Linked DNA regions of Notamacropus eugenii. The protein of the gene in region 2 interacts with the protein of the main gene of each other region in a biochemical or structural test. Links are inferred from orthologs where the notes say so. Each region holds a gene or a part of one and is shown on either strand. Other genes may lie near its edges. The genes, in order: WBP2, E3 ubiquitin-protein ligase NEDD4-like, PTEN and MLANA.

The links.
Region 1: of the proteins of E3 ubiquitin-protein ligase NEDD4-like (region 2) and WBP2, one has a biochemical effect on the other in vitro, tested with the Homo sapiens proteins (6 studies listed by BioGRID, with this or other methods). The link is inferred for Notamacropus eugenii from reciprocal best matches to the Homo sapiens genes NEDD4 and WBP2.
Region 3: of the proteins of E3 ubiquitin-protein ligase NEDD4-like (region 2) and PTEN, one has a biochemical effect on the other in vitro, tested with the Homo sapiens proteins (7 studies listed by BioGRID, with this or other methods). The link is inferred for Notamacropus eugenii from reciprocal best matches to the Homo sapiens genes NEDD4 and PTEN.
Region 4: the proteins of E3 ubiquitin-protein ligase NEDD4-like (region 2) and MLANA form a complex in vitro, tested with the Homo sapiens proteins (2 studies listed by BioGRID and IntAct, with this or other methods). The link is inferred for Notamacropus eugenii from reciprocal best matches to the Homo sapiens genes NEDD4 and MLANA.

The regions. Positions count from the first base shown.
Region 1 is NC_092873.1:342,036,149-342,043,660, forward strand, and holds the start of WBP2 (WW domain-binding protein 2), read right to left. Parts: upstream 3,003-7,512; 5' UTR 2,821-3,002; coding exon 2,765-2,820; intron 305-2,764; coding exon 196-304; intron 1-195. UniProt on the Homo sapiens protein: Acts as a transcriptional coactivator of estrogen and progesterone receptors (ESR1 and PGR) upon hormone activation. In presence of estrogen, binds to ESR1-responsive promoters. Synergizes with YAP1 to enhance PGR activity.
Region 2 is NC_092872.1:140,798,181-140,805,774, reverse strand, and holds the start of E3 ubiquitin-protein ligase NEDD4-like, read right to left. Parts: upstream 3,012-7,594; 5' UTR 2,726-3,011; coding exon 2,681-2,725; intron 1-2,680. UniProt on the Homo sapiens protein: E3 ubiquitin-protein ligase which accepts ubiquitin from an E2 ubiquitin-conjugating enzyme in the form of a thioester and then directly transfers the ubiquitin to targeted substrates. Specifically ubiquitinates 'Lys-63' in target proteins.
Region 3 is NC_092872.1:279,320,292-279,327,640, reverse strand, and holds the start of PTEN (phosphatidylinositol 3,4,5-trisphosphate 3-phosphatase and dual-specificity protein phosphatase PTEN), read right to left. Parts: upstream 2,983-7,349; 5' UTR 2,915-2,982; coding exon 2,836-2,914; intron 1-2,835. UniProt on the Homo sapiens protein: Dual-specificity protein phosphatase, dephosphorylating tyrosine-, serine- and threonine-phosphorylated proteins.
Region 4 is NC_092872.1:38,760,460-38,768,279, forward strand, and holds the start of MLANA (melanoma antigen recognized by T-cells 1), read right to left. Parts: upstream 3,003-7,820; 5' UTR 2,904-3,002; intron 853-2,903; 5' UTR 834-852; coding exon 757-833; intron 1-756. UniProt on the Homo sapiens protein: Involved in melanosome biogenesis by ensuring the stability of GPR143. Plays a vital role in the expression, stability, trafficking, and processing of melanocyte protein PMEL, which is critical to the formation of stage II melanosomes.

The DNA.
Region 1 (7,512 bases), on a different chromosome or scaffold from region 2:
GGAGACACAGCAGACTCCCAGAGTCCTGGGAGGAGCCTGTGACAAAGAAACACCATGGGAGATGGGAAAATAAAAAGTCATTAATGTTTCAGGGGCCATCCAACTCACTGACCTGTGTCAGTGTTGCTAGAAACCTGAGTCACTCTTCTAAAATGTCAGGTCTCAAAATGACAGGTAAGGACTCCAAAGACTTACTCTGTAAGGAGTCAAATAGAGGCTGCCTTTCTTGGTTCCTTTGAAGGCATCTGTCATGTGATCCATGTCACTGAAGGAGAGCTCCACATGATCGTAGGTCATTAGAATACTACAACGGGAAGGGAGCAAGAAGATTATAAGGGAGATTAGAGATATGACTTGAAGTGTGAATAAAAAGCTGTGTTATTTCCTTATATTCCTCTTCTCCTCCTGCATCCATCCCCCCCACCCCCACCCCTCAACAAGCAGTAGACTATAGAATCTCAAACATACCACTACCAGCTCCATCTGGAATAAGTGCCAGATAAGGAAGGAGAATTCCAATTTGCAAGGTTAAAGCTGATGCCACCACAGACAACGCTTTCACCCTAATCTTCAAAGGCAAGCTAGATGGCAACTCATTGTGTTTATTATAACATTCATGTTATGAATAAGGATTAGACTAGACCAAGGGTGGGGAACCTGTGATCTTCTAGGTCCTTGAGTGCAGCCTTTGACTGAGTCCAAGTTTTACAGAACAAATCCTCTTATTAAGGGGATTTGTTCTTTGAAGTTTGGATTCAGTCAAAGAACGACATTTGAGGGCCTAGAGGGTCGCATGTGACTGAATGTTCCCCACACCTGGACTAGAAGATCCATGAAATTTTTTCCAACTCTATAATTCTATGAAATGTCTAGTTGCAGGCATGATCACTTAAAGAAAATGTAAAACAGATAAATTATGAAATGATGATTAAAGGACTCACTAAAGTTTCCTTCAAATAATAAAAGAACAAAGGAGGTTCAAATCTTAACTTCAATTTATACACTAATTTCCTGGAATGAAACTAAAGAATTTATATAAAGCAAGGCATATCCTTATTTAACAGTCACAGAGCATTTAGAAGTGTGGGAGGCAAAGCGAGAGGTAGTCCTTGTCCCAGAAACTCCCACTGAGAAAGAATAAAAAACAGTCACAAGAGATGATACTGAAAGACAGCAACAGTGTTTCCTTGTTCCAAGAGCCTGTTTGGACACAAAAAGGTCACAAACCAATGAGCATCATGGGATATCTCTACTTACAAGATAAAAATCAAATGAACTATTCCTGGTGGTTGAGTCTGTCCTCCTACTCCAACCAATTAATCACTAAACATGCATTTATTAAGCTCTTACTTATCTACCAGGCACAGTACTAGATGCAGGGAATATACAGACAAAAAAACAAACCACAGCCCTCAAGCTATTTATATGTGCATGTCCATTTACAAAATAAGTGAGATACTTTGAACACTAACAGATGGGGGAAGGGACAGTCAGGAAAGGTTTGCACAGAAGATTAAATTTTTGTTGAATTTTGATTGAAACAAGTGATTCTAAGATAAAGTCCAGACTTGGGGGGCAAAATGTGCAACAGCATGGGGACACTAGTGTCCTGTACGGGAAATACCAAGAAGACCCAGGCTGAAAACCTTTCCACTTTTAAGAGGATGGGTGGAACAGAACTTGAAACAAATGCAGGTGGAGAAAATAGGTTAATTATCAGAAACAGGATAAGCCTGTTGGGTCCTATGCAGGGAAGGTGAAGAGGTCATCTTTTTGAAGTCTAAGCTCACACTTGAGCCAATCTGCTTCAACATGAGTTCTGGTCCCTAAGTACTTCTTTCCTCTTAACTGGCACAGTGGTCCTTTTGGCGTTGTAGGGCTATCCTGAAGCAGGTAGCGAGACATGCTCGAGGGGTGGCATCCTTTCCTATGTTGAAGTAGTCAAAGGAGAGGGGCAGAAATAGTGAACACAGAACCAGGGTTTTTTTTGGGGGGGGGGGGTTTGACTGCAATACCATTTATGGCATGACCACCCTAGCCTCCTCCAAATAGGAGGAAGTACTCGGTAAATTTAATGAGCTTCCATCCACATAGTGAAAGCAGGAGTCAAGTCTTCGCTGCCTCTCCCCAGCAGTGCAAGAAGTTGCGAGTCTTAGAGCAGAAAGGGGTGTGGGGGTGGGTGGGTGTTTTAGTAGGACGGCGGGTAGCAATCAGGAGTCTCCTTCCCGTCTAGTTCCCTTTTCTGGCCTTCATCATCTTCCACCTGAAGAATGAGGGAGGGGCCGGACGACCCCCGGCGCCGCTCTCAGCTCCGACGTCATTCTCCCTCGGCTCCGGGGGTGGGGAGGAGGAGGCTGGCCCAGCCGGGCCCGCAGTGGGGGAGGGGGGGTAAAGGGGATTCCAGCACCAGATGGGGCGCGGAGAGGCCCAACATTCCAGCCAAATCTCCTACGCGGCTACCCTCCCCCAAGCTGACGCTGTCCTTGGTCCCCAATCCCTCCCCAACGACGCCCACCCAGGAAGCTCAGTTCCCTCCCCTCCCCCAGCTGCTGCAGGCCTAGGCCCCTCTGGCAGTTCCAGGAGGGGTAGGTGACGGGGGAGGGCTAAGATTTCCCGCCCCCTCCTTCCTTCCTTCTGCCCAGGCCGTTACACTACCCTGACCCCACCTCCCTCGACGACTCGCCCCCACCCCAACGTCCTCCCCGCCCCCCTCCCTGTCCGCCCTTTAAGAAGCCTCGACGAATCCCTCCGCGGCGCCGCTCACTTCTCCGTGTTGTTGACAATCACTCCGCTCTCCGAGTGGTTCCTGTTGAGCGCCATGGCCGGGCCGCACAGACGCCCCGCTCCAGACCTCGGAGAACAGTGCGCCTGCGCTCCGTGCCCAGCCCCGCGTGTCGTCGTTCGGAATTCAGTTCCAGCCAATCACAGGGTGCGTATGCGGGCAGGAGAGGAACAACCACCTGACCCTCGAGTCACGTGAACGCGTTCGCCTGTCGTTTTCCTCCCCCTCCCCCCTTCTTCCGCCTTCTATCGCTTTCCTCTACCTCTTACACTTGCTCTTTTGTAGCAGTTTCATCACAAACAAGTCCGAAGACTACAGTTCCCGGCATGCAATGTTCTGGCCTCGCCCTAGACTGTAGGAGCTGTTGAACTTCCGGAGCACCCAAATGGCGAAGGACTTAGAGTTCCTAGTTTGGAAAGATGTATAGAAGAACTGGGAATATTGATTTCCAATCTGGGTCTTCCCCGTGCCCAAAAATCTCAAGTAATTCCTTGTTTCTTCTAGAGCTAGGTTTTTTTTAAATTGCTTTTTACCTCACCAGAATTTCAACCTTTGGTTCTCCCCCTCCCTCCCCTCAGGCACCCGGTGAACAACATTTTTAAAGAAAAAACAATGAGACGCCCTCCCCCCCAAATAAAACAAGCAAAATCAATACATGGAACAAGTCAGAAAGTGTATGTCACGCACCACCCTGGGGACTTTGCGTCCTGCGCAGGATTTGGGGGCGGGGGGGTAGGTCGAGTTCTCTAAGTTTTTGTGTGTGGACTCCTCGGAAGAGTGACCTTCAGTGCATACCATAGGTAAGATTACAAAGGAGATGATCAAAATCATCTTCAGACCAAGTTTACCGGTCCCAGGTTAGGAATCCTCGTCCTGGCGTCCAGGCCTAGCCCAGCCAGCGTTGAGGTTCAATCTGGGCCCATCGATCGCTGGCTGGTGAAGCGTCCCCGGACCTCCTCCTGCTTAGGCCTGGGCCGAGGCCTCCCAGCCTGCCTCTCGGGGCCTCAGCTTCCTCTTCGGCCGCGTGAGGGGCTCGGCGACCCCCGAGGTGGCTTCCAGCGTGGCATCTCCCCGCAGGAGCCCTCTGCCTGCCTAGGTCCCTGCATGGGAGGCTTTTTCCGAGGATCTGGAGGTGCCACAGGCCTGCCCCCGAATCACCTTAAATATTACTCTATTTGACATTATTTCCTATGTCTTCCTATAAGCTTTGCCAAAAGTGGATGTTTTGGGAGAAGGTGAGTGGCTTCATTTGATGTTCTATTTGCTATGTATTTTAAAATCTTTTCTGCGTGACGCTGAATGCACACCCTCAGTAAGTCCTTCCTTCCCATCACTTTTCAGTTGCCAAAGAAAATTCAGAGGATTTTGAATAGTTTTCCAGGAGCTCACCCACTTCCCTTTGTCCCAGCTAATGTATGAGACCTGGTGGTAGGAGCTTAACAAATGTTAATTCACTGAGTGATGAAGAAGATGCTGTTAAATGGCTGTGCTGGAAAGGCCTTGTAACCGTTTAAGCATCCTTTCCATACCATTTCCTCTCTGTAAGCCCTACCTGATGTCTTCCAAAACTGTCCATGGGTCAGGAAGTTACACAAACTCACACACACACGTCTAATGTATGTATGTCATCTGTGGAATTGTGAGAAGCACATGCCCATCACCTGCTGACAGACTATGTCACGTTGAATGGATAAATAGACTGCAGTGTAGCTGACTGAAAATTTTTTTTCTTTCTTTTTTTTTTAATATTTAACAATCACTGCCACACAATTGAGATTTTATCCCCCCCCACTACCCCCCTCCCTCCCCACGACTGCATACAATTCTGTATAGGTTCTACATATACTTTCCTATTGAGTACATTTTCACTATAGTCATGCTGTGTAGTCGGACTAAAATAAATGGAAGAAATCATATAACAAATCAAAACATGATTCACAAAAACATACACACACACAAACATGATCTGCTACATTCTGCGAATAACTTCCATATTTCTTTCTCTGAGTGTGGAAGGCATTTTGCCTTAGAAAACCACCATTGGGATTTTTTTTTTTTAAGAAGTTCTTGCGTTATTACTAAATTCCAAGTCTACCAGAAAAAACTCTCGCACACTGTGGTCGTTGCTGTGCACAAAGTTCTCCTGGTTCTGCTTGAAAATTCTTATAGCAGATCCTTGAGGGCAGGAATTGTCTGGTTTGACTGAACTTGTATCTTCAGCATTTGACACAATGCCTTACACACAGTGAATGCTTAATAAATCCTTTTTTATTCATGGATTTTTTTCATTCACTTTCTGGTTAGCCAGAAAGACATGAGAGATGGCTAGAATTACATACCAGAAACTCATTATCTTTTAAAACTAACTGGGAACAAATGTCCCAGCTACCAAATCCTAAAATATCTTTGAGAGGTCCACAGATAAAATATAGTGGAACCAGAGCATCATTACAGACTGATTGGTTGTCCACAACCACTTAGATATAACCTTTATACATAAACATCGAAGGACAGTGTTTTAAATAAATGTCATTTCTTTTGGGTCAGCCCTAGCTTAGTTCAGTCCACTGAGTAATTCAAGCTTGCGACTGAAATGCCATATTGTGTTCCTTATAATGCAACAAAAACAGATTTAAATACAATAAAATTAAAAGTATACAATTTGCTAAAATTAGATGCTGCTCTCCTCTGCATCTTCATTCTCCAGGATAATGCTGGATGAAAGCAATGGGAATTCCACGAAACCTCAGGAATATTAAGTATATGTAGGCTAGACTTCTTATGCCTCTAGCCGCCCAGACCAGCCAGATCTTGATCTTGCCTCTTTAAAGAGAAAACACACCAACCCTATGTAAAAATATTATTCCTATTACATTCCACCCCCTGGTAGCAAAGTCCTAAAAATCTTCACAGGAACTCTCTTCTGATGGGGTACAGACTCTGGGAACCTCCTTGAACTCTTCTTGAATCTTCCCACTTAATGGGGCTTTTCATACCCAAATCTGTTACCCTTAACCTAGCCTGGCCCTCCATTGTCTGTTGCCTCCAGATTGCTACTGGCTGCTTCCCATACTTGATCAGTTACCGCCCCCCTTCCATCAAGACCCTCCCTACCCCTCCTTTCATCACCCCTGACTACTAGACCACCCCCAGAATTCCTCCCACAGTCTTTCTGTATATAAGATCCCTCTTACCTCCATAAAGGTGCTCAGATTCAATCTGGCTCTGATCCAGTCTTGCTGAGGTTCTATCTGGCCTACCATCAATACAAGCCTTACAAATGGTGAGGCTTAAGAGTCAACCCAATATGGTGAATCTTTAATAAACTTTGTTTTACTTTGGTTGAAAGAAGGCTTGGGCTGAATTCATTCAGGCAGGGCCCGGGTTGTCAGTATTTTGGGGTCCCAAGCACTCTAAACCTCAACAAATGTTTCCCTGACCTCAACACTACCACTTATATGTCTGCAAGGTTGTTACTAAAAAAAGCTGGCTTTGGGGATATGAAAAGCCTAGCAAAGCTTAGGAAACACTTGTTGACCTGAAAACTTGGTTAAAGAAAAGGCAACAGGCTAAATGCATACATTTTATGATTTAATTAATTAATTGATCAATTCCCTATTAAAGAAAATGGTAACATAATGCATTATGGAGCCAGAAATGTTCTGGCTACTGATACAAAGAATTGGGCAGGCTTAAATATGTTTTAGGACAAAGAAGTGTTCTGTGTCCTTCAGATTTATGATCTCCATAAGTGACTAACTAGACATTAGAAAGGAATTTCTTAATTGCATAGGTTGTAAATACAATAAGATAACAGAGTTTGACAAAGTTTCACATAGAAATTACCACCCAAGATGTCTGTGTTTTCTTTACCATTAACATGCCATAACATAGGATATGTCTACAAATGTTAAGATATGGAAAACGTCCCATTATTCAAGATAGTGTCTTAGGTTAAAGGTCTCTTAAGGAATGTTAAGTCAGCCCTGGCAGGCTTTTGTTGACATAGGAAGAGGCATTCTCTGAGTTTGCTTCAGAGAGAACAAAGAGATTATTCCAAAATTTTATATTAAACATTATCAGTATCTATCAGGGAGTAACTAAGCACCCTGACATACACAGGTGGGCCTGCTATCACAGGTTCTTTAATCTGCATTTCTAAAAGGAAAGGCAACTTTTGAGAGGTTAACAATCTCCTTTAATCAAGCACATATATCATTCCCCTAGTTCAGGGAAAAAAATCAGCACCCTGAACTTCAGAGAAAATACAGAGAAATCAAAGATCAACAGACATGGTTTCCAGCTATCTGACCATAACCAATACATATATCACAAATCAACAGATATATCCTACTGTCTGACCATAGTTACCAGAGAGGGAAGCACCAACATCTGGGTTTTCAAAGCCAGGGGGCTCCTTAGTGGCGGCCCAGAGTCTCCTCTGACCAAACAAACACTTCCAGTCAGTAAACCCCAAAGTAAAATCTAATCCTCAAAGTATTTATACCCTTTTTAGAGCCAGAGGGCATCACAACCCTTGAGAACTAGTGCCTCATTAATAAAAGGTGTGGGCCTTCCTACAAAGCTTCCCAAGCCCATAAGGACTGGGGAAGATCTTCTTTAATCACACTATTCAGTCAGAGGCACTTTATACTAGAACAAAAACAGCAAAAGATCCCACTTTGCTTGCCATCACACTCCACCCTTCCAGGATTCTTGGCCTTACAATC
Region 2 (7,594 bases):
TGGATGAGTTACTAGGGTCAAGGGTCAGCTGCAGCCCTTCTTTCCCTTTACAGATCAGTCCCTCCTACCCCATCACTCCTTAGAGTTCAACTAGACAAGTACAACCCCTTCATCAGCATTTCAAACTGAAATAATTTTTTTAAATCACATTGAATAAGAAGTCCTTTTTTCTTAAAAAAGAAAAGAAAAGCAATCTTCAAAGCCATTTTAAGACAATCACACAAGAGGAGGCTGAAGTGTTGGTACTACTAAAACAAAGAGTCACCATGGCTTCCTGTAAGTTGTCTACAACACTGGAGAAAAGACTGGTTCTGGTACTGCCATCACTAGGTAAAGAGAGAAAAGCAAGCAGCCCCTTCCTCAATCTTAATCTCTTACTCCTCTCAGCACAATGGAAAGAGGAGGAAGTTCACAGTCAGATCTCTCTCTTTCCCTGGGATACAGTAATTAAGGGACATAAAGCAAATAGAGGCATTTGGAATCTTGGCAGGGCAAAGGCCAGACCTCCAGTTTATCCACTGGGGTGAACTCTACATGCAGGTGGTTGTCTATTACATGAAATGTGTTGTGGAGTCTGCAGTCTTAAATTCAAGAATTGAGACTTCTGGTCTTGACTGATGATTGCCTGAGACCATGGGTTACCCTGCCCAACTCTGCTAGAGAGGTGTAAAAGGCATGGGGAGCAAACTAAATTAGCCTTGGCTAACCCACGGAGGCATGCAGAGGCAGACACCTGGAACAGGGCCAGATATTCCAAGTTTGGGGTTTTTTAATTGCTGGAGGGAGGAAGCAACTAACTAGAAAAAAGCAGATATCACTAATGAGATACCAAATCAGCACAAAAGAAGTACTAGAAAAGGGGAGTTAAGTTTTTCAGACATTTTGCCAAGGACTTATTCTGTTTCTGAGATTTCCAATCTAGAGATCTAGAACATAGTAAGAGAAGGAGAATGAGTAAAAAATTCATACCATCAGAATATGGCTCTGAAGAACCCAGAGAGTCCCAAGCCTGCCTAGACCAGTGTAGGTCTACCTAAGAAATGCCTAAGGCAAGTATCCGTCCTATAGAACTAGCAGCAAGACAGTCTTTCTAATACTTTTTAGAGCCAGAAGGGCATAGTGTTTTTCTCTTCTTGTTGAAATATTAGCCAAAAATTAATGTAGCAATTATCTAGCACTTACCATACATACATAACCGTTTAGTACATACAGGAATAACAGTGAATATATTTCCATCAGAAATTATCTTCTATCAGCATATATACATAACCAGCAGATGAAATAAAATATTGTTGTTCAGTGGTGTCGACTCTTTGTGACCCCATGGATCACAGCCAATCCTTCACTATGTCCTGGTATCTGTCCAAGCTCATGTTTGTCACCTTCTATCCATCTTATTCTCTGCCATCCCTTTCTCCTTTTGCCTTCAATCATTCCCAATAAGTAATTCTCCTTTAATCAAATTATATTTAAAAGGAATGAAAGGCACTGTTCTTTATTATCAGGACTCACCAAACCAATATTACTAAGGATAGGGACTGGATCTATGATTTATGGGTCTAAGGAACTTCCAATTACAAACTCCTGCCAAGGCAGGTGTGTACCTTCCCTCCAATTTCTGGCCTTAGAGAGTTGCTTAGGATACTTCAAGTGATTTGCCCAATAAGTGTCAGAAAGAGCACTTGACCTCAGTTTTTCTTGATTCCAAGGCTTATTCTCCAGCCAGTATGCTCATAAAAATTGTTTTATAAAGGATCTACATAAGGGAAGATAGGAGAGATTATATCAATAAACAGCTGAGAAGCATACAAAATATGTTCTCTATTAGAACGTTACCGAAAGAGATCTGATCTCCTCAGCCACCAGCCCCGTACATGTTGCAGCTGTGTTTACATAGTTGCTAACGCGCGGACGCCGCCGAGGGGGCACACCTTGGGAGTATACAATGTTGCAGATTGTTTCCATTGGCTCTGGGAAGGGGAGTGAAACCTAACTGGCCTTCACGGAACCGCATCACCGCAGCGGGAACTTCCAACGGGAGCCCGGGCTCCACGCAGGCCGGACCAAACCGCGGAGGGGCCGAGGAGAGAGATCTGCTGGAGCTGTCACCCACCAGGGCTTCACTGAAGCGTCATGTCAGGAAGCAAGTTTCAGTTCAGTTTAATCTCAGTTAAGTAAAAAAAGGAGGGGCCGAACGCTTTCTATACTGGCTCTGGTTAGTAAATTCTCTCTTCGGCCAAGCCCGAGCCCCAAACGGGGTAAAGAAAACAAAGCACGAGGAGCCGGGGGCCGCGCCCGGGCGCCGAGCCCGCCCAGGCCAGGTCTCCCGGCTCGGGCCGGGCCCGCTGCGGCCCGGGATGCTCCAGGTGAGGCGCGAGACATCCCCGGATCTCCGGCTCAGGTTCCCCCGCCCCCGCCGGCACGCGGGAGAACTGCCCGGGCCCTCGCCCGGGCCCCACTCTGCACGGCTAGAAAGGGGGTGCAGATTAGGCTGGGGGGGCTCGGTCCCCAGCAGCCCTCTCTAACTCTCACGAGCCGGCTCTCCGCGGGTCCCGCCCTTCCCCACCCGGCCGAGCCTGCGAGTCCGGGGCCGGGAGGTGAGAGATGTCCCAGCCCGGCCTCGAGCTCCCTCGGGTGGGGGATGGGGCGGGGGATGACAGGGACCAGCGGGTCTCCTTACCTCATCCTCCAGAAGGCCGAACACCTCCGCCGGAGAAGTTGCCATGTCCCTGCGGGGCCGAAGAGCTCGACTCCCTCACCCCTGGCCCGGAATCGTAGCGGGAAAGGGAAGGGAGGTAGGAGAGGGGAGGAGGAGGAGCGAGAAGGGGGGCGGGGGGCGGAGAGGCTGCAGCAGCGCCCCCTGCCGCGGGGGAGAAGAAGAAGGGGCCCCTTCTGCCTGAAGCGGGGCGGCCTGGGGCCTGGGGCCTCGGGCCTCGGGGAGGGAGTAAGGGGAGCGGGGTGAGGTCTGCGCGCTTCCTTCCCCGGCCCGAAGCCCGGGCGGAGCCAAGTCTGCGGAAGGGCTGGGTGCGACTCGCCGGGGCGGGCGTGGGAACCGCTGGAACCTCCGCCCCCCGAGAGCGCCCAAAGTACAGGATGACGGGGCTCGGCTGCGGGCCTCGGGGCGGCCAGTCCAGGGCTGGGGGCGGAGCCGGACGCTCCGGTGCTCTGCCTCGCGCAGACTGTCGGGCCGGGCAGCCGCGGGGGACGGGGGTGTCCCGGGGGGCAGGGGTGTCACGGAGGGGTAGCGGGCGCCCCGGGGACGGGGGAATGCCCCAAGAGGAGAGGGGTGCCGCGGTGGGGTGGGGGGTCCCTCAGGGAGCGGGGGGGTGTACCGGGAGGAGGGGGTGCCGCGGTGGGGTGGGGGGTCCCTCAGGGAGCGGGGGGGTGTTCCGGGAGGAGGGGGTGCCGCGGTGGGGTGGGGGGTCCCTCAGGGAGCGGGGGGGTGTTCCGGGAGGAGGGGGTACCGCGGTGGGGTGGGGGGTCCCTCAGGGAGCTGGGGGGTGTTCCGGGAGGAGGGGGTGCCGCGGGGGGGTGGGGGGTCCCTAAGGGGGCGGGGGTGTCCCGGGGGGCTGGGGGGCGCCCCCGGCCTTAGCCCAGCTTCGCCAGCCCGCGCCCCTGCCCGGATCTCATCCCAGTTCCGGTCATGGCTTCTGTAGTAGCCTGTTATCCCCCCACTACGGAGCGCCCTGGGGTACCACGGAGTTGGGATTTAAACTCAGGCTTCCCAACTGTCGTGGGTCATGTGACCTCCCTCTCCCAGATTAACACCAGTTTTTCCTCGTTGAATTCACTTCCATTTCTGAGCCTCTGGTGGTTTGTAAAGAAACACTTCTAAAAGGTTCCCAGTTATATCCTTTTGAGTCAAGGGTGGAGAGAACAATGCCATATTTTTATTATTTTCAAAATAATTATTTTGAATTATATAATTATATATTATTTTATCTCGTTTCATGTGTTTATATGTTAATTATGTATATTATACACAATGTTGCACTTTAACGTCGGATCCTTCCCCAGGCTTTACCCGACACAAGCGGTGATCCAGATATCTAGGGCACAAAGGGGAAAAGTCAGCTCTTTGGTCCACCTCCTATCGTGTCTGGACAAATTAACAAATGGTAGTTCTGTGATCCCACCTTCGAATTTAACAAGTGGAGGAAAACGACACATCGAAAGATAAAACTCCATCTCTCACCTCCATGTTCCATGAGCCACCCATTCCTCATCCCTGTTCCATTTCTGGAACCATAAACTGGTGATCGTTCAGAGAACTTGTCTGTCTACTCTGCTCCGGTCACACTCGCTAAGAACACTTTCTAAGATTAAAGTGTCCAGCCGCCACCACTCCACTATGTACATCGTTTCCACCATTAGAATGTAAAATCTTTTAGGTCAAGTCTACAAGCATTTTTTTCTTCTTTTTTAAAAAAAAATTTATTTGTTTTCAGTTTTCAACAATCACCTCCATAAGTTTTAAATTTTTTTCCCCCTTCCTTTTCCCCCCCTCCCCAACACAGTGTGCAATCTTATATGGGTTCTACACATACATTCTTATTAAACACATTTTCACATTAGTCATATTCTACAAGCGTTTATTAAGTGCTTACTGTGGTCTGTGAATTGTGCTAAGTGCTGGGAATAGAAACGCAAACAAAAAATAGTCACCACCTTCTAGGAGCTTACTTTCTAAAGGGAGAAGAGACACATGAAAGGGGACTGAAAGGTGTTGGGGTAGTACCTAGTGAGGTCAGAAAATCTTAGGAATTCCTCCAAGAAAGGATGACTGGCTTGGGCCTTTCTTCCAAATGGAGGGAATGGGAGAGAAAAGTTCAGGGTGAGAAGGCCACAGCTGCTGCAGGACTTCGGTGTTTTTTTATTTGTATCCCCAGCACTTAGTACAGAGCTTGACACTACTACAGTTAAGCACTTAATAAATGCTTTTGCATTCATTTAGTGATCAAATTACAGTTAAGCTTTTTAAAAAGTCAGTAGGCTAGAGAATGGTCATATCACCTACCCATTTACTATTCCTGCTTCTTTCTAGTCTTGAAATCAGAATAATTTACCAGTGAGGCCACCTTCAGAGTACATCAAATTAGGGAAATTACCTTGGGCCCAATGTTTTGGAGAACCCTGCCTAGGCCAGGCAGGCCAGAAGGACCTGAGGGCACAGCAGACTAGCAAAGAGACAGGGCCTGAGAATGGGTGCTCTTGACTAGGGCAAGCATACATGAAAAGATGTATGGGATTTTAACTGTGAGTTGGCATAAATACACTTTAGAACAGTGGTTCTTAACCTGGGCTCCATAAACCCTTATAGATTTCAGGAGATTTTGTAAACTTGGATGGGGGGAATAATGAATCTTTATTTTTTTAACCTCTGATTTCCTTTGTATCTTATGTATTTTATTTTACACATCTAAAAATTCTGAGAAGGGATCTTCATCAGACTGCTAAAGTGGTACATAACAGAAAAAAAGATTGAGAACCCCTGCTTGAGAGTTACTCAGCCAACCCCTACTCTTGCTGGAAAGCTAGGTCCTGAGAGCAAGGCTTCTCCATCTCCCCTAATGGCCCTAGAGAACCCTGAGGGGCTGGGTGGCTGGTGGCTTTCAAAGGCTATAGTTCATCAGCTGAGGCTGGGAAACCCCATCGTTTTCTTCTTCCCCATCTGTACCTCAGCAAGTGATTTTTTTTTTAAAGTACTTTACCCATAGCTTTTATATCCTCAAATGCCTGACTCCAAACTAGCCTTCTGGTGTATAAGTCCCACAGGGCACGACCACATTGTTAAACCTATGTAAACAGATTTCTTATTGCACCTTGTTGAAATGCTTTGATTGAATAGAGATATCCACCCTCTAACTCTGTAACCCTGGTCAAATCACGTAACCCTGTTTGCCTCCGTTTCCTCATCTATAAAATAAGCTGGAGAAGAAAATAGCAAACGATTCCAGTATCTTTGCCAAGAAAACTCCAAATGGGGCCATGACTGAAATAACTGACACACAAGAAATAATCCAGGGTATAACTGATAAGGGTCTTGAACGAGGATGGTGTGTATGTGAGTGGAGAGAAAGGGACATGCTATAGATTAATTATAATACAGAAAGTGAAGGAGAGTTGAACTTGCGAGTCTGAAGTCGTCAGTGGTACGCTCAACAAAAATTGGAAAATTTGGAAAAGAATTAAAATTAAGTGGGAAGATTTTGCAAGTTGGGGTGCTTACCTAATCCCTTGAAGTGTAGTTTGTGACGGGAGACTACAATTAGAAGAAAGATGGGGGCTGATTTGGGATACAGCTGTTGAGACAATAATTGAAACCAAGAGGGTGCTACAGAACCAGGACAATGCATTGGGGGCATAGGTACATTTAAGGGTCTCTACACAGATGAATATTCCACAAAAGGGACTGAGAAGCAAACAGGGAGAAAAGCTAAGAGTTAAGGACCTCAGAGGAGGAACAAACATTTAGAAGGAGGGCGGATGGTAAGTGATGTCAAAAGATGCTGAGGGGTCACAAAGGAAGAGGAATGAGGAAGTGGCTCCCAAGAGTTAGCCACTAGAGGTGGGTCACTGATAACCTCAGAGAGATCCCTTTCCGTTGAGATGTGGTGTCTGAAAACTGGTTGCAAGGGGTTGAGAAGAGAGTGGGGAGGTGAAGTAAAAACTGCAAGTGTAGATTTTGGTTTTTATGAATTTGTTTATGAAAGGGAGAAGGTGTATAGAATGGAGCTTAGGGGAGCTGGCAGGTCTAAAGAATGAAGACACCTGGGATGGGTACAATACAAGGTGTCTTACAAGCATCATCTCTCTTTATCCTCACAACAACCTTGACAGATCAGTGCTAATATTATTCGCATTTTGTAGCTGAGGAAACTGAGAGAAATAAAGGTTAAGTGAATTGCGCAGCACAGCTAGTGAACGTAGGAGACTGAATTGGAATTCAGATTTCCTAACTACAAGTCCTGTGCTCCACTGCACCACCTAGCTGCTGATAATAATAGATAGCATTTATGTAATCCTACTATGTGCCAGGCACTGTGCTAAGCATTTTATAATTATTTTTTTTATCTTAGCTGCCTAATGTTTGAAGATCATGGGGGGAAAGGAGAGATTGAGGATGACAGAGGGGGACGGATGATTAATCAACAAGATTTATTAAGCACCAATTATATACCAGGTATTGTGCTCTACAAATATAAGTGGGGGAAACAACAGGTACACAGATAAGTACATAAAAGATACAGATAAACATAAAGTAGTTAAATACAAGATATTTTAGGAAGGAGACTACTAGTAGGGGGAAAGTGGAGCTGAGGAAAGATGTCTACGCAGAAGGTTGGGCTTATGGTGAGTCTTGAAGGAAGAGAGGGAATCTGTGAAGTAGAGGAGGAGACGTGCATTGCAGGAAGGTGGGCAGTCACTGCAAAGGCACAGTCTGGAAATGGACTGTCTTGTGTGAGAAGCCAGATGACTAATGACAGTGGAGGGAAGTTTTGTAAGGGGAAGCTAAGCAGTGCAGTAGATAAGAGTGCTGGGCCTAGAGTGAGGAAGATTCATCTTCTTGAGTTCAAGTGTAGCTTCAGACACT
Region 3 (7,349 bases), about 140 Mb from region 2:
TTTTGGATAAGGCCAATATGGAATGTCTTGTTTGATTACGCATACTTTGTTACAAGGGTTTTGTTTTCCTTTTTTCTCCCCCATGGAGGGAGAGTTGGAAGACAAAGAACATAAATGCTTTTCAACTGAAAATACAGTTTTACTTTATTTTTTTCAGGAAATAAGATTTTTCTACTTTTCACAGATTCAACTTGAGGACACTTTTTTTTTTTTTAAAGACACTACAGTTGACCAGAGAGTGATAATGTCTTCCTTACTTCTTACTAGAATGTTTTCCCACAATAACCAGAAATGGAGCTGGTCAAGTGCAGACTTTTGTCTGCTAAGGAGATAAGCTCCTGCAGGGCAGAATCTGCTTCACTTGCATCTTTAAAACCCCATACCACATACAGGGTGGCCCTCATAAATGCTTGTTGATTGACTGACAGTTAAATCAAGCACATTTTTTGATGCATCAAAAATTGTTAGGAAGAGAAGCTTTCAATGATCTTTTGCTCTAGTGATTGTTTTTAAGTTGCATAAATTTTATGCACACATGCCAAAAGTAGCTGACCATAGGAAAATTATATCCCATCCCCCTAAGAATAGCATTTTGCTGCTCAGATAAGAACCTGGTAAAAGACTTGCAAAATGACTATAATGACATAATTTAGATACTCATTCAGAGAGTCATAATTAATTAAATCAAGTTTAAATTTTGCAGACTTCATAATTTGAAAGTGGACATCATTTCAGCCATTTTTAACATGACCCAAAAAGCCCACTAAAAGCACTTAATTAGGAAAAGGTTTTCTTCCTAGTTCTCAGACAACCACTATTATAATTTGACCCCAAAAATGAACTGCTGGTAAAAACAAATCATAAAACAAAATCTGCAATGAGTGACGTCCTCGGCAGTGCTGTCCAGTTTAAATGTATCTATTACATTCAATCGATGCAGTCTCTTCAATTTCCAAAGTTACTCTAAAAATACCATGTTAAGAATTTAACAGGAATATGTTTTGTTTTCAGCTATGTTTAGTAAATTCCTCTAACAAAACGTGTCTACTTTTAAGAAAACACATGTATGCTTACATTCAGTTGGCATAAAAATTAACATAAAATTTTAATAAAACAGTAGAAGGTGGCAAAAGTATAAATGTAATAAATATGAAAGGGAACCAAATTCTTTCGACATTAAATTCTGTTATCATATTCTCCTCCAAACATTTCAGGTAAAAAGAGTAGTTTAAATGTCACTCTGTCCATTGAATCACTGACTATTATTACTGAAGTGTTTTTGAGGACAGATATGTATGCTTAAATGTACAAGGCCCTATAGTCAAGACTTAGAACTTTCCTATGGAAAGGTACCAGCAAGAGGCAGTCACTTCCACAGAAGGCACTGTCAAAACAAAGTAATGATTTTTGATTTTTTTAAAATCCATCTCATGTTCCATATCTGTTCAACTCTATCCGTATGGTTTACTATTGCATTTACACCACCCTATGTCCAAAACGCTCCAGTCACCTGAACACCAAAAACCTAATTACTTTAAATTACATTTCTCCGTACATGCATACCAACAGGCAATGAATTGTTTGGGTAAAAAAGTGTACCTTTCATGAGTTTGCAAATTAGGAAAATGAATTTAATTCTCAGGTTAGATTAAAACCCAAACTACAGGGATGACAGTAAAGGGCTTTGAAGGCCTCCCTCTTTTGAATGCAAGGGTCTAACCTTAATCCCTCCAGAGCAAAGTCTCGGCCAAAATTCTAGGTTTCTCTTTGTCAATAACTGCCTCGGTAAACTTAAACATTTAAAAGCCTTAACAATTAATCTACAATGTAACTCACTCGATTCAAAATAGGTACAGTGACATCTTACCAGCTCTTCCAGGACATGTTAACTAGTAAAAATACAGACCACATTTTTCCATCTCACTAAAAGTGTAAATCAAAATTATCAAGACCACTAAGACGCCAGGAGGACCCGAAAAATAAATATCGCCGATTATCAACCTGGCCTCACAATAAAACTTAAAACTTCCAACCAACATTAAATTTAACCTTTGCAATAACCACTCGAGACACAAAATGCCCACAGATCGCCTTGACATTATCACTAGGGATCAAAACTACTCAATGTCCATTCCACAGCATATAAACACAGCACATAAAACGCTGCTGAACAGTTCATTTCATGTCTTACCGACATATCGGCCTACCAGGAGCAAAAAAAAAAAACCAAAAAAAAACCCCACCACATTTAACAAAGACCTCAGATAAGCATAGGCCTTAGAGGGTCGATTATAGCGCTAAACGTCTAAATCTTAACAAAACTACCAAATTCGGCTCCAAATGGTCATTAACTTGGTTCTTGGGGCGTGGGGGGGGCATCTCCCCTTCACCTCCTGGGACCGCGGCTGAGCACCTGGGACCCTGCAAAGAGCCCCTCGACTCACAGTTTAGGGCATCTATCGAGGCGACCCAGGGCCCAGAAAGAATCCCTGCAAGATTCTGATGCAATCCCGTCCAGGCGAGCCTTAGTCCCGACCTCCTCTCCAGACCCTCGGTCTAGGTAGGGCCTACCCCAGGCCGGCGGGCTCCCTGCTGCTCTGTTCCCAGTTCCCAGGTGCGACCCCAGGGGGGCCCGGATCGGAGCTCGCTAATATGCTCCCCTCCGCACCAACCGAGGGACAATAGCCCCGGAGGGGGCTGGGGGAGGCCCCTGGCCTTGACCCTGGGTCTGAGCCCCAGAAGCTGGTCCCTGGGGGACGGGGGGGGGGCCGGAGGGGGAGCAGGATTGGGATGCTCTGGGAGGGGGAGGGGAGGGGGCTCCGACGCGGAGGATACAGGTCAAGTCCAAGTCGAATCCATCCTCTTGGTATCTCCTTTTGTTTCTGCTCACGATCTCCTTGATGATGGCTGTCATGTCTGGGGGCCGCGGGGGGAGGGAGGGAGCGGGCGGACGGAGGCGGCGGCACGGGCGGCGGGGCCTGCTCAGCAGCCGGGCGCCCGGCCTGGGCCTCTGCCCGCGGCGCGAGCCGGCGCCTGGGCCTGGGCCTGGGCCCGCGGGAGCTGGTGCTGCGGGTGCGGCAGGCGCGGCGGCGGGCCCGGCGGCGGCCCCGGAGGCTGCCCCGGCTGGCCCGGCGGCGGACGCGGGCGCGGCGGGTGCGGCTCCTCGGGGCCCCGCGGGGGCCCGCGGCGCGGCCGGGGCCGGGCCCGCAGCCGCGGCAGGCCCGGGCGGGCAATCAGGCGGCGCGGCCCACGCTGCAGGAGGCTGCCCCAGGGACGGGGGGCCCGGCGGCCGCGGCCCCGGCGGCGGACTAGAACGACGGCGACAAGGAGAACGAGGCCGAGGCGCGGCTCCGGCGCGGCGGCCCGAGGCCCGGGGGGGGGCGCCGCCGGGGCCGCCGCCGCCGTGGTGGAGGAGGGGGGGGCCGGGGCTGCCGCCGCTCGGGGCCCCGCGGCGGGAGCGCCGGCCTAGGCCGGGGCCGGGGCCGGGGGCGCGGAGCGGGGCTCGGGGCCGCGGCCGCCGCCGTCTCGCATCGCCGCCGGGGCCGCCTCGCCTCGCCGCGCCCCGCCTCGCCTCGCCGCGCCGCGCCGCGCCTCGCTTCGCCTCGCCTCGCCCCGCCTCGTTCCGCCTCGTCCCGCCTCGTCCCGCCTCGCGTCGCCTCGCCGGGCCTGGCCAGGCCTCGCAGGGCGGCTTGCAGCGGCGGGCGCGGAGCTCACTCAGCTGCCATCATGGCCGCGGCGGCCGCAGCTTCCGACGGGAGATACCAGGCAGCTCGCGCCCGGGAGGGAGCCACGGCCGGCTCCGCACGCCTGCGCCTGCGCCTTGCGCCGCCCTGCGCCGGGACCAGGCCGCCCCCCCCTCTCCCCGCCTCCCCGACCGAGGCGGAGGCCCGCCCCCCCAGACCCGCCCCCTTACCGATGCGCCTGCGCCCGGCTCCGCTCCACGACACGACACGCCCCCGCGTCTCCGACTCAGCCCCGCCCCACCCTCCGTCCCGGCCCCCGAGCGCCTGCGCTCTGTTCAGTCCCTCCCCTAGCCCCGCCCCCGCCCGGGTACCGCCCCCCCAAGGTCGGCCCCGCAGGCCAAGGCCCCGCCCTCAAGCGTCTGTGCCCCGCTCCGCCCCGAGATGCAGGCGCCCCGCCCCCGCTTCGGGGCCCCGCCCCCCGCAGCTAGCCAGACCGGGCCGAGCCTGTGGTCGCGAACCAAGAAGCAGCGCGGCGCAGAGCCCCGCCCTTCCCCTTCCTCGCTCCTCCTACACGGCACGGACACATCGACGGCACGTCGTATCCTGCCGCTGCGCACAAAGAGTCCCGCCACATCACCGCCTGCCACGGGAAAAGGAGGGGGAGAGAGAGCGAAACCGAGAGACGGAGACTCGTGGGGAGGGCGGAGAACTCATACCGGGGAGAGCTGGGACCAGGAGAATCTGGGGGGAGGGGTCTTCGTGTGGAGGAAGGGAGACGTAATGGGGGACGAGAGGAAGAAGTGATGGGGGCGGAGGAGGAGACTGAGGGGAAGGAGACTCGATGGAAGTGATGGGAGAAAGTGTGGGGGTGGGGAGGGAAGGGAGCTCGGCGGGGGCGGGGTTGGGGGAGGGGGGAGGAGAAGTGAAAGGTGCCGGGGGGAGGGGGCCTGGGTGAGCACGGGCCGTCAGGTGTCAGGCGCGCCGGGCTGACCGAGATGCCGCGCATGCCCAGTGCCGAGGCCGGCTCCGGGGCGGGCTCGGCTGCTCCCAGGTGGGGGCGGGGGGCCCCCAGCCCAGCACGGGCGGGACCAACCTCCGGGAGGGCGAACGTCCGCTGGCGCCTCTGCTTTATCCGAGGTGCTTTGCTCCGTTCCTAGCCATCACGTGGGGGGAGGCTGCTGCCATCCCCCTCCAACGGGCAGACCCCCGCCCGGAATGCTAGAAGGGGGAGGGGTGCGGCTGAGGCCGCCTTTCCCCCTCTCCCAGCTTCACTTTCTATGTTTTTTCTTCCTCTGCCCCTCCCCCACCGCCTAGGGATGGGAGGGAGATGTGCCAGCCCCAAACCCCCGCCCCCTTTCCCGAGCCGGGAGAGGACCTGCCCGGAATTCCCACTCCTCAGCGTGTCAGCCTCCCGTGGTGTCTCCGTCTGTTGTGTCTCCCCCTGCTCCCCCGGGCGCCCCCCGATAAAGGAGCTGTCCCCAAGAAAGGATCCCCACTATAATAATAAAATCCCCCCATTCTCCCCAAGGATGCCCCCACTTGGAGAAAGGTCTGTGGCAGGAGGTTGGGACATGGCCCCTGCCTCCCTTTCCACCACGCTCGGTCCCCAGGATCGTGGCTAGTCCCCGCCTCCCAGGCGGCTAGGAAGACCCGGTTCGGATTTTGCTGGGGATCACCGCCAGCTCTCGGGGCCGGTGGGCTACAGTGCGCATGGTTTGCGGGAGGGCGTGCCTCTCCAGTGGGCTGACTCGGGACCTAAGAGGGGGCGGGGGGAGGTGGAAGAATACGCCGATCTAGCCGAACTACTTTCGGGGCAGTATCACGTGGGGGGGCGGATGTCCAGGCTCCCCCTCCCCCTGCTTGGGGGCGGTGTTCTGGGCCGCTTACTTCTTCGGACCTGAACATTGGCTGAACTCCTCGGGGGTGGGGGCGGCGACCCAGGAAAGGGGCGGTGCGTTAACCTGGGAGGAAGAGACCCTTTTGTCTCAGGCCACAGCCTTGCACACTGAAGGGGTCTAATAAATGATTCGCGCTGGCTCCTTCCCTCCAAGTTGAGGACTAGCAGGCCCGATTTGGGGAGCCGAGCCAGTCCTTTGTGCCGATGAGGAAACTGAGGCTCTAGCCTAGGCCCCAGATCCCGCTGCCTGTCCTCCGGCTGGGCTGCCTTCCGGCTGTCACTGCCCCGGACCGCAGCCACCGCTGTCCAGCTTCGAGCTTCCCAAGGGGCCCGGGAAAGGCGGACCCGGGCCGGGCCGGATCGGGCCCGGGACCTTGGGGGCTGGGGGCGGGGCGGGAAAGAGGTTGTGTCTGTGAAATTTGTCCTGGCTGGTCCTCCCGAGGCCAGGACGGCTCTGGCTGCCCGGACTCTAGGGGGTTTGCTCTCATTCTCTGGGCTTGCAGTCCCCGCTGCAGGTGGCACGCCCCACCCATGTCCATATCCCGGGCTTCAGGGTCCCACTCTCCTCTTTCCCCGGAGCGTGGGCCCAGCTTAGTATCTACATAGTAATGATGCCACCGAGCCCGTGCCTAGCTAACTCTTCGGCCCACTGGGACTCGATAACGTGTTCTCCCTGCTCCTTCCTCGGAGGCAGGCAAGGAAAGTCCCAGTGTATTTGGGGTAGAGCGTGCAGCCTGGGCCGGGGAGGAGGGGACCCCAGGCCTCCCTGGCACCAGAGGCCGTCAGCAGAGGAGTCCGGAGAGTCCCCAGCAGCACAGCTGCCGGAAAAATGGCCTAAGACTGCCAGCCGAGGCACATGAGGCCTTGGTGAAGATGTCCTAGTTAAGGCTACGTGGCCGATCAAAATAACAATTAGGAACCAGTCACCGGATAGCTACAGGCACCCCCGGGGTCTAGGCAAAGCACTACCTTCCAGGACACGGCTACTCTCCTAGAAGTGGAAGCCCTCTGTAGGGAAAAACTGAGGCACCCACCCTGGGAGCCAGACCCAAGTCAGATCTGGAAAGCACATGGCAAACCTGAACAAAATATTGATAAACAGAAACATTAAACTTTTCTTTGCGCCAGCAACCACAATAACGATTGTTCTGGTCAGGTACGTCTGACTCTCTATGACTCCATTTAAGGTTTTCTTGGCAAAGATGCTAGAATGGTTTGCTGTTTTCTTCTCCAGCTCATCTTGCAGAGGAGGAAGCAGAGGCAAACAGGGCAAAGTGACTTGCCCAGGGTCACACAGCTAGTAAGTGTCGGAGGGCAAATTTAAACTCAGGTCTTCCTGCCTCCAGGGCCTGTGCTCTGTCCACTTCATCACCTAGGTGCCCCAATAATAATAGCTAACATTTTGTAGAACTTCATATGTGCCTAGCCCTGTGCAAAGCCCTGGGGTAAGAAAAACTGCCCTCGAGGAGCTTATATTCTACAAAGAGAAGGCAACACATCCTGGGGAGTTGTGGTCTGAGAAGTGTACTTTGGTCCAGGAAATTCATCACCAAGATGACAAGTGGAATCACACTAGTTAAGGCACCATCAAAACATTCATCATTATTCCTTGTTCTGTTGCTAGAGTCCACCCCTCCCCCAACTGTCAGCAAATAAAGCAAATTATTCAATCCAGCTTAGAAATCATAAAGTAACTCTAAGAGCACACATTTACAAAGTGTTTTCTTCTGAATGACCCTGAAGGATCATCCTAGTTTGTAAAATGAGCA
Region 4 (7,820 bases), about 100 Mb from region 2:
CCCACCCCAGATGTTTCTCCTTATCATGAGAAGCTCTTCCCTTATTGTTCATTGGATGATTATTCACCTTGTTGTTTTATTCATCCTGAATTAATACATTAGCTCCAATCCATGTCCAACAACATCCATCTAAGGAAAGTCTATCTGCCCATTCCTTCTCATGGGCACCATTTCTTACCCTCACCATTGCCCCATTCCATCACCAAATAAGTCTATTCTTGGAACTTATGGGTTTGTGTGAATCATGGTATGTAGTGTTAGAAGAGATTCCTTCATTTTCTAAAGGAAATTAAGGCAGAAAGAGGTTGAATGATTTACCCAAGGTCATACAGGTGATACGTGGCAGAGCCAGGACTCTTGACTCCAATTCCAGGCTCTTTCCATTGTACTACACCACTCACCTTCTGTCTCCCAACCACCACCAAAATCCTAAATACATGAGACCAAGCAGAATTATTTTCAGAGCATGCACTGTATCTGGGTTGGGAGCTTTGGATTCGGTTCCAATAAAACAGAATTCAGACAAAAATGCAAAGTCCCCCTTTTTTCACCCTAGATGATAGCCCCTGGTCTCAAACAATCCTGAGCCTGACTGTCTGCCTAACTCAATTAAGCAGAAAGTTTCTTCCCCTTGTGTCACACATTCTGTGGGAATAGGCACAAAGCACATTTACGGACAGGCAGACACATTCTGGGATGGATAAGCCCCCATCCACAAACTACGAGTTGGAAGTCTGAGTTGGGTTTTAGACTTACTCTTCTGCGGTAATGTGAGAAGGAGACTTCTTTTTCTTGAGGTAGGCATGTATAAAGTGAGCATTTTCTTTTGGCATCTTGTGAAGGCAGAGTTACCTAATGGGAAGGATGACACTGAGATCATTCATTGAAACCAGAGCTAACTCAAGAGGCAATCCCTATGGTCTTAGTATCAGAAAACCTTCGTTCAAGTGGTGACCTCAACATTTAGATGCTGCACAGTTCTTGGCAGATCTCTTAACCTCTCTGAGTCTACATTTCTTTATCTGTACCAGGTGGATGATATTTGATTAAAGGGTTTTGCTTAACTGTGTTTTTGAAAAATATACTTTTAGCAGGGTTTGCTTGGGTGACTGTTGGAAAGATTCTTTTGTAGCAAAACAAAATGTGTCAACTTTTAAAAATAAAAGAAAATGAGGAGGGGGAATTTGTACCGAGCCTCACAGGAGTATTGTGAGGAAACATTCTGTAAACAAAAGAAAAAGGTAGGGGAAGAAAGGGAAAAGAGAAGAGAGGAGAAGAGAGGTAAGGTGAGCAGAAGAGAGGACAGGTTTTTTAATTATTGAAAAATAATAATGGAGAGAAATTTTTATTAAAAATAATAATAGCTAACACTTACATAGCACTTTGAATATTATCTTAGCTAGTCCTCAGAACAACTTTGGGAGGTAGGTGCTATTATTATCATTATTTTAGAGATGAAAAAACTGAGACCGAGAAAGGTTAAATGATTTGCTTAGGGTCACTTAGTAAGTGTCTCTGGCTGAATTCAGACACAATTCTTGCTGCCTGCTGGTACAATGCTTTTATCCGCTGTTTGACCTAGCTGATAAGATGAGTCAGATCCATAAGTGGGCTCTCTTGCTACTTTAAGGGGCTATACCTTTAACGGTCTTCTTTAAAACCCAAAATCAAAGCAGAATGGCAGGAGGAAATTTTTTTCCCCTACAGCATTTACTTACCTTCCCTTTTGACAGTTGTAGTGATTTTCTATTATCCAGCCCCCACGGAGAAGTTTATTATTGGCCACTAAATAGGAAACTAAGGGACTAGAAAAGGAAGAAGCTTAACTGTATAAATGATCAATTCTATGGAGTATATGAAGGTTATTAACTATCTTAGTCTCCCCGCCACCCCCAAAAAGTGACAGCCAAATTCCCATATCTCAGATGAATAATGTAGTGATAGGTCCTTTGTATCATTTTTCCAAATGGTATAATCCCAAATCAATTACTATTAAATTAATTTGTACTCGTAAACCCATATCTTATGCTCAGATCCTAATAAAACTGAAAGTTTAGAAGATTTTAACCTTAAATAAGAGTTGTGTGCCATGGGGAATTTTATGGAAGGTCATAGACAGCCATCATACAAGATGAGAATTCAAAAGGCCTTGCGCTGTGCTCCTGGGGAGGGCATGCTCACACTGGGAAAAGCTCTTAAAACTACCTGTGCAGGACTTTAGAGATCATCTGGTCTAAGCCCCTACAGAGGAGATAAGAACCCACGGAGGTCTCTTTGCCTGAGACCAGTTAGGAAGTAAGCAGCATAGCTTGTAATAATGAGCAACTAAAATTTAATAATAGTAATGTTAATAATAACAATACTCTAATAATTCTGTACATGTGATTAAGGTTTAAGGAAAGGAGAGGTACCACTAGGAAGGGACAGTTTAGCAGAGAGGAGAGTGCCCTGTCCTTGACACTTGGTTACGGTCCACTTTCAGGTTTTTCAAAGAACTTTTAAATATTCTCTGATTAATGTTTATATTTTAATTATATTGTTCAATATTATTTAAGTAACTGGAGCATGTGGGGGTGGGCAGCACAACAAAGGGTCAAATTGGGCAAAGTATCTAAGTTTCAAGAAGGTACTGAAATAATTCTTTCAGTTCTCTGATCTCCTTTTCAAGTAGAAACAAGGAAGAAAAAGCTTAGGAGGAAAAAGAGACACTTCCATAGTTGTGTACCTAATGAGAATTATTTTCAATGTCCACATTTTTCTAAAAAACAAACTCAGGAGAGAAATTGTACTGAAGTTCAAAGCCTGTGTGAAAAAAGGTGAACGGTCCGCGGATCCCACGCAGGGCTTCCCAAAGCAAGTATCAAAATTAAAGGGAGAAAATCCTGGCTAAGTAGAGCACTTACCTTCCTTGCAGATCTGCCTTCTGCTCTGTAGCTGGTGAGACATGTGATTATCAGCCCTCTTTTTCTTAATCTTTTTCTTTCTGAGTTTTATTCCCATGATGGTCACGGGTTGGGATTCCTGAGGCTGCAGCCTATGGAATTTATTTAATTGGCATGAAAGGAGAAAACAGAAAGGGTCTTCTCCCAACCTTATTCCATGCCTTGACATGTAAGCACTTGCTTCTTATTTTCTACACCAGATTAATTCCACCCCATTCATTTGTTTGTCGTTATCCTATGACTCCTAGAATAAAGATGCCCTCTAGATTCCAGAGAACTTGGATGGTTCTCTAATTCCCAATGATAGGAAAACTCAGTTGAAACACTGGCCTCTGACTTTTCATCTTCATAATAAAAGAGGATAAAAAATACATTAGCCTAGTCTATTTCTGGAATGAGTCAGAGTCTGAATAAGGTGGTAGAGTGGGGCATTGGACAAGGAATCAAGAATTGAGTTCAAATTTTACCTCAACCATGCAACTGTGTGCAAATCACTTAACCTTTCTGGACCTCAGTTTTCCCATCAGAAAAACAGGGTCATTACACCCAATGATTTCTAAGCTTGACATCTAATTTTGACATCTTTCAGCTTGACATCTATGATCCTATTGTAGCACAAGTTATGGAACTATAAATCCACACTTGAACTGGCTTACGAGGTCCCTCCAGCATAGCTGCTATATTTACCACTCTGGGTTCTAAGGTTAATCCTGAGTGGTTGGAACAGGACTTTTAGCTCACCAGATCCCTCCTCCACACTGTCCCAGTATTCTTCCCTGCCCCCCTTTCTTCCCCTCCATTAGCGTTTATATCAACCAATCAACCAGACTTAATTAGCTTTTAGAAAGGGTTATTTACTAAGACAATATAGTAGAGCAGTTGGCACAAAACATTTTTCCCTAAAGTCTGTGACACATTCGCTCACAAGTACATACAGAGTCTAGGAGAACCAGGGCTCACACCTGGAGAACACATGAGGTAAAGGGGCAGTACCTGGAAGTACTTTTGCTGGAGTCCTATACTATACTATAGTCATTATATTCAATTTGGGGGCCTGACTTATGTCTTGCGGCTGGACTGTGATGACTCTGGAGGAGAAAGTGAGGGTGATGACTTCGCATGACCCTGCCTCTCTTAAATCCAATTCACTTTCAAGTCAAGATATCACCCTCCTGATGACAGAAATGAAGGACAAAAAAACAATTCAATCTATCCTTAGTTCCTGATGTAGATTCCACCACCAGCCTCAGATGACCTAGGGATGCTACTAAGGAGTCCAATGGGAAAAACCAAATCTTCTGGTCCTCCAAATTTCATTAGGTCTTCTTCTGGTCAAGAAGAATTGGAGGTGAATAAATCCAAGATATTCTCTTCCCCTCTAAGCTATTCCTTATCAAGGGTGTCTCTCTCTCTCTCTTGTCCACCACCAGATGCTTGAAATTTCAATTCCAAACAAGCTTCAAGTTTTAGTATAAGCCCTATAGGACATTACCTGAGCCCTTGACCAATCTGAACAGGCTTTCTATCATCCCTGGCTCATCTCTGTGATTGACTCATTCAATCAATATACATTCTTATCAGATATCAGGGTACAGTGTTGTATCATTTATTTTAAATAGGATTGGGTAATTTTCTAGACTGACCCATCCCCCACCACACACACACACACACACACACACACACACACACACATTATAATACTATGAATCTGTGGCATATGTTAGAAGTACAAGGGAATTATGTCTCCACTAGAAAAGGGCTGATTCATACACTGTAAGTGTTTGAAGGGACCTTAAAGATGATCTAGTCCAACCCCTTCATTTTATAGATAGAGAAACTGAGTCTCAGAAAATTTATGGCAGTTAGGTGGTGCAATGGATAGAGTGCTGGGCCTGGAGTCAGGAAGACCTAAATTCAAATCCATCCTCCAACATTTGCTAGTTATGTAACTGTGAGCAAGGAATTTCATCTCTGCTTGCCTCAGTTTCCTCCCAGAGTTGATGAGAGGATCAAATAAGGTAATATTGTAAAGTGCTTAGCACAATGCCTGGTCCATAATAAACATTATATAAATGTTTATTCTATTCCCTTCCCCCTCACTTCTGGATCATAGAGTTTAAGGACTGAGAGGGACCTTAGAGATAATCTAATCTAACCCCTCCATTTTACAGAGAAGGAAACTGAAGTTGTCCATGGCCACACACAGCTGGTTAGTTGCCAAACCTGGACTACCACCAGGCTCCTAGTTCAGTGTCCTTTCTTCTCTCTCCCTCTGTCTCTCTTATTTCTCTGCTCTCTATTACTCCTTCTAAATTGTTTAATGTGTACATATCTTATATCCAAAACCAGGCTTTGAAGTCCCTGCTCCTAGAGGGACAAATATTTAGTGCCCAATGTTTCTCTTTAATGGCTGGCAACATCATGCTGGACGCATAACTAGTTGAAATCAGTTTGAAGGTCCATGTCCTCATTGGCTAGGAAAGAGAATTCATGTGCTCTGTGCCAAGTCTTAATGTGTGGGAAGACCACCTAGCCCATCTGCTTTGAGATGTCTTTTTAATAGCGTTGGAGAAGTAGAGTAATGCATCATAAGACTGGAAAGACCAAGGTGGATTTATGCTGCTCTGCACACACTCTACTGCTGGTGCCTGCTATTCCCCAGTATGCATTTTCAAAGACAGCTGACTCAGATTAGGAGTTTCAGCTTTTCACCATGTCCTCTTCCATCTTCACTGTCCCTACAGTCCAATCTTTTTCCAAACACTGTGGGAGTTATCTTTATTGTATACATTTGGTCAAATCATTCTTCTCAAAAATCATTAGTGGATCTTTACAGTTTGCTAAGAAAAATCCAAAATCTTTCCCTTATATTCAAAGCCTTCCACAGTTGGATACAATTCCACCTTTCTGACATAACTCAGAATTTTCCCCTCAAGATACAAAACTAAGCTACTCTCTTTTTCTCTGAACATGCCCTATGTTCTCCCATATGTGTGTTTTTGCTTTGGGTATTCTCCAAGCCTAGAATGTCTTCCTTTCCCCATCTTTATTTGTCAAATTCCAATTCATTTTTTGAAGTCCAACCCAAGTAACATCTCCAAAAAAAATCTTTCCTTTTTATTACATTATTTTATTTGTTTTCAGGGTTCTACAATCACTTCCATATATCTCAGATTTTTCTCCTCCCTCCTCCTCCTTCCCTCTTCCCTCCCCACTCCCTCCTTGAGACAATGTAAAATCTTACATAGGTTCTACACATATGTCCCCTATTAAATACATTTTCACCTTAGGCATATTGCATAGAAGAATTAAAATGAATGGGAGAAACCATAAAACAAATCAAAACAAAACATAATAAAAAAAATGGTCTGCTTCAATCTGCAATCCAATTCCACAGTTCTTTCTGTGGCTATGAAAGGCATTTTGCCTCAAGAGTCCATTGGGAATTTTTTAAGTCCTTGCATTGCAATGAAGTACTAAGTCTACTAGAAAAATTCTTTGTGCACACTGTGGTTGTTGCTGTGTACAAGGTTCTCCTGATTCTACTCCTTTCTCTCAGTATCAGTTCATATAAGTCTTTCCAGGCCTCTCTGGAGTCTTCCTGTTCATCATTTCTTATAGCACAGTAGTATTACATTACATTCATATACCACAGCTTGTTCAGCCATTCCCCAATTGATGGGCATCCCCTTGATTTCCAGTTTTTGGCCACCACAAAGAGAGCTGCTATAAATATTTTTGTGCATGTGGGATGGTTCCCCATTTCTATGATCTCTTGGGGATACAGTCCTAGAAGCAATATTGCTGGGTCAAAGGGTATGCACATTTTTGTAGCCTATGAACTACGAACTATGGTTCCAAATTGCTCTCCAGAATGGTGGGATCAGCTCACAGATCCACCAATAATGAATTAATGTTCCAGTTCTCCCACATCTTCTCCAACATTTATCATCTTCCTATTTTGTCATGTTAGCCAATCTTATAGCTGTGATGTGGTACCTCAGAGTTGTTTTGATTTGCATCTCTCTAATCAATAGTGATTTTGAGCATTTTTTCATATGACTATAGATAACTTTAGTTTCTTCCTCTGAAAACTGCCTGTTCATATTCTTTTACCATTTATCAATTGGGGAATGACATATTCTTGTACATTTGACTCAGTTCTCTATTTTAGAAATGAAGGTTTTATCAGAGATACTAGTTGCAAAAGTTCTTTCCCAGTTTTATGCTTCTCTCCTAATCTTGGGTGCATTGGGTTTGTTTATGCAAAAACTGTTCAATTTAATGTAATCAAAATTATCCACTTTGCACTTCATAATGTTCTTTATCTCTTGTTTGGTCAAAATTTCTTCATTCTTCACAAATCTGACAAATACACTATTCCTTGCTCCCCTAATTTATTTATAGTATCAATCTTTATTCCTAGATCATGTATCCATTTGGACTTTATTCTTGTGTACGGTGTCAGGCATTGGTCTATGCCCAGTTTCCACCACACTGTTAGCCAGTTTTCCCAGCAATTTTTGTCAGACAGTGAGTTCTTATCCCAGAAGCTGGAGTCCTTGGGTTTATCAAACAGTAGATTGCTATATTCATTAACTACTATGGCTTGAGTATCTAACCTATTCCACTGGTCTACTCCTCTGTTTCTTAGCCAGTACCAAGTGGTTTTGATGATTGCTGCTTTATAATACAATTTGAGATTTGTTAGGGCTAGGCCACTTTCCCTAGCATTTCTTTTCATTAGTTCCCTTGACACAGAAAAAGCTTTTGACAAAATACAATATCCATTCCAATTGAAAACACTGGAGAGCATAGGAATAAATGGAACTTTCCATAAAATAATAAGCATCCTAAAACCATCCACAAGCATTATAT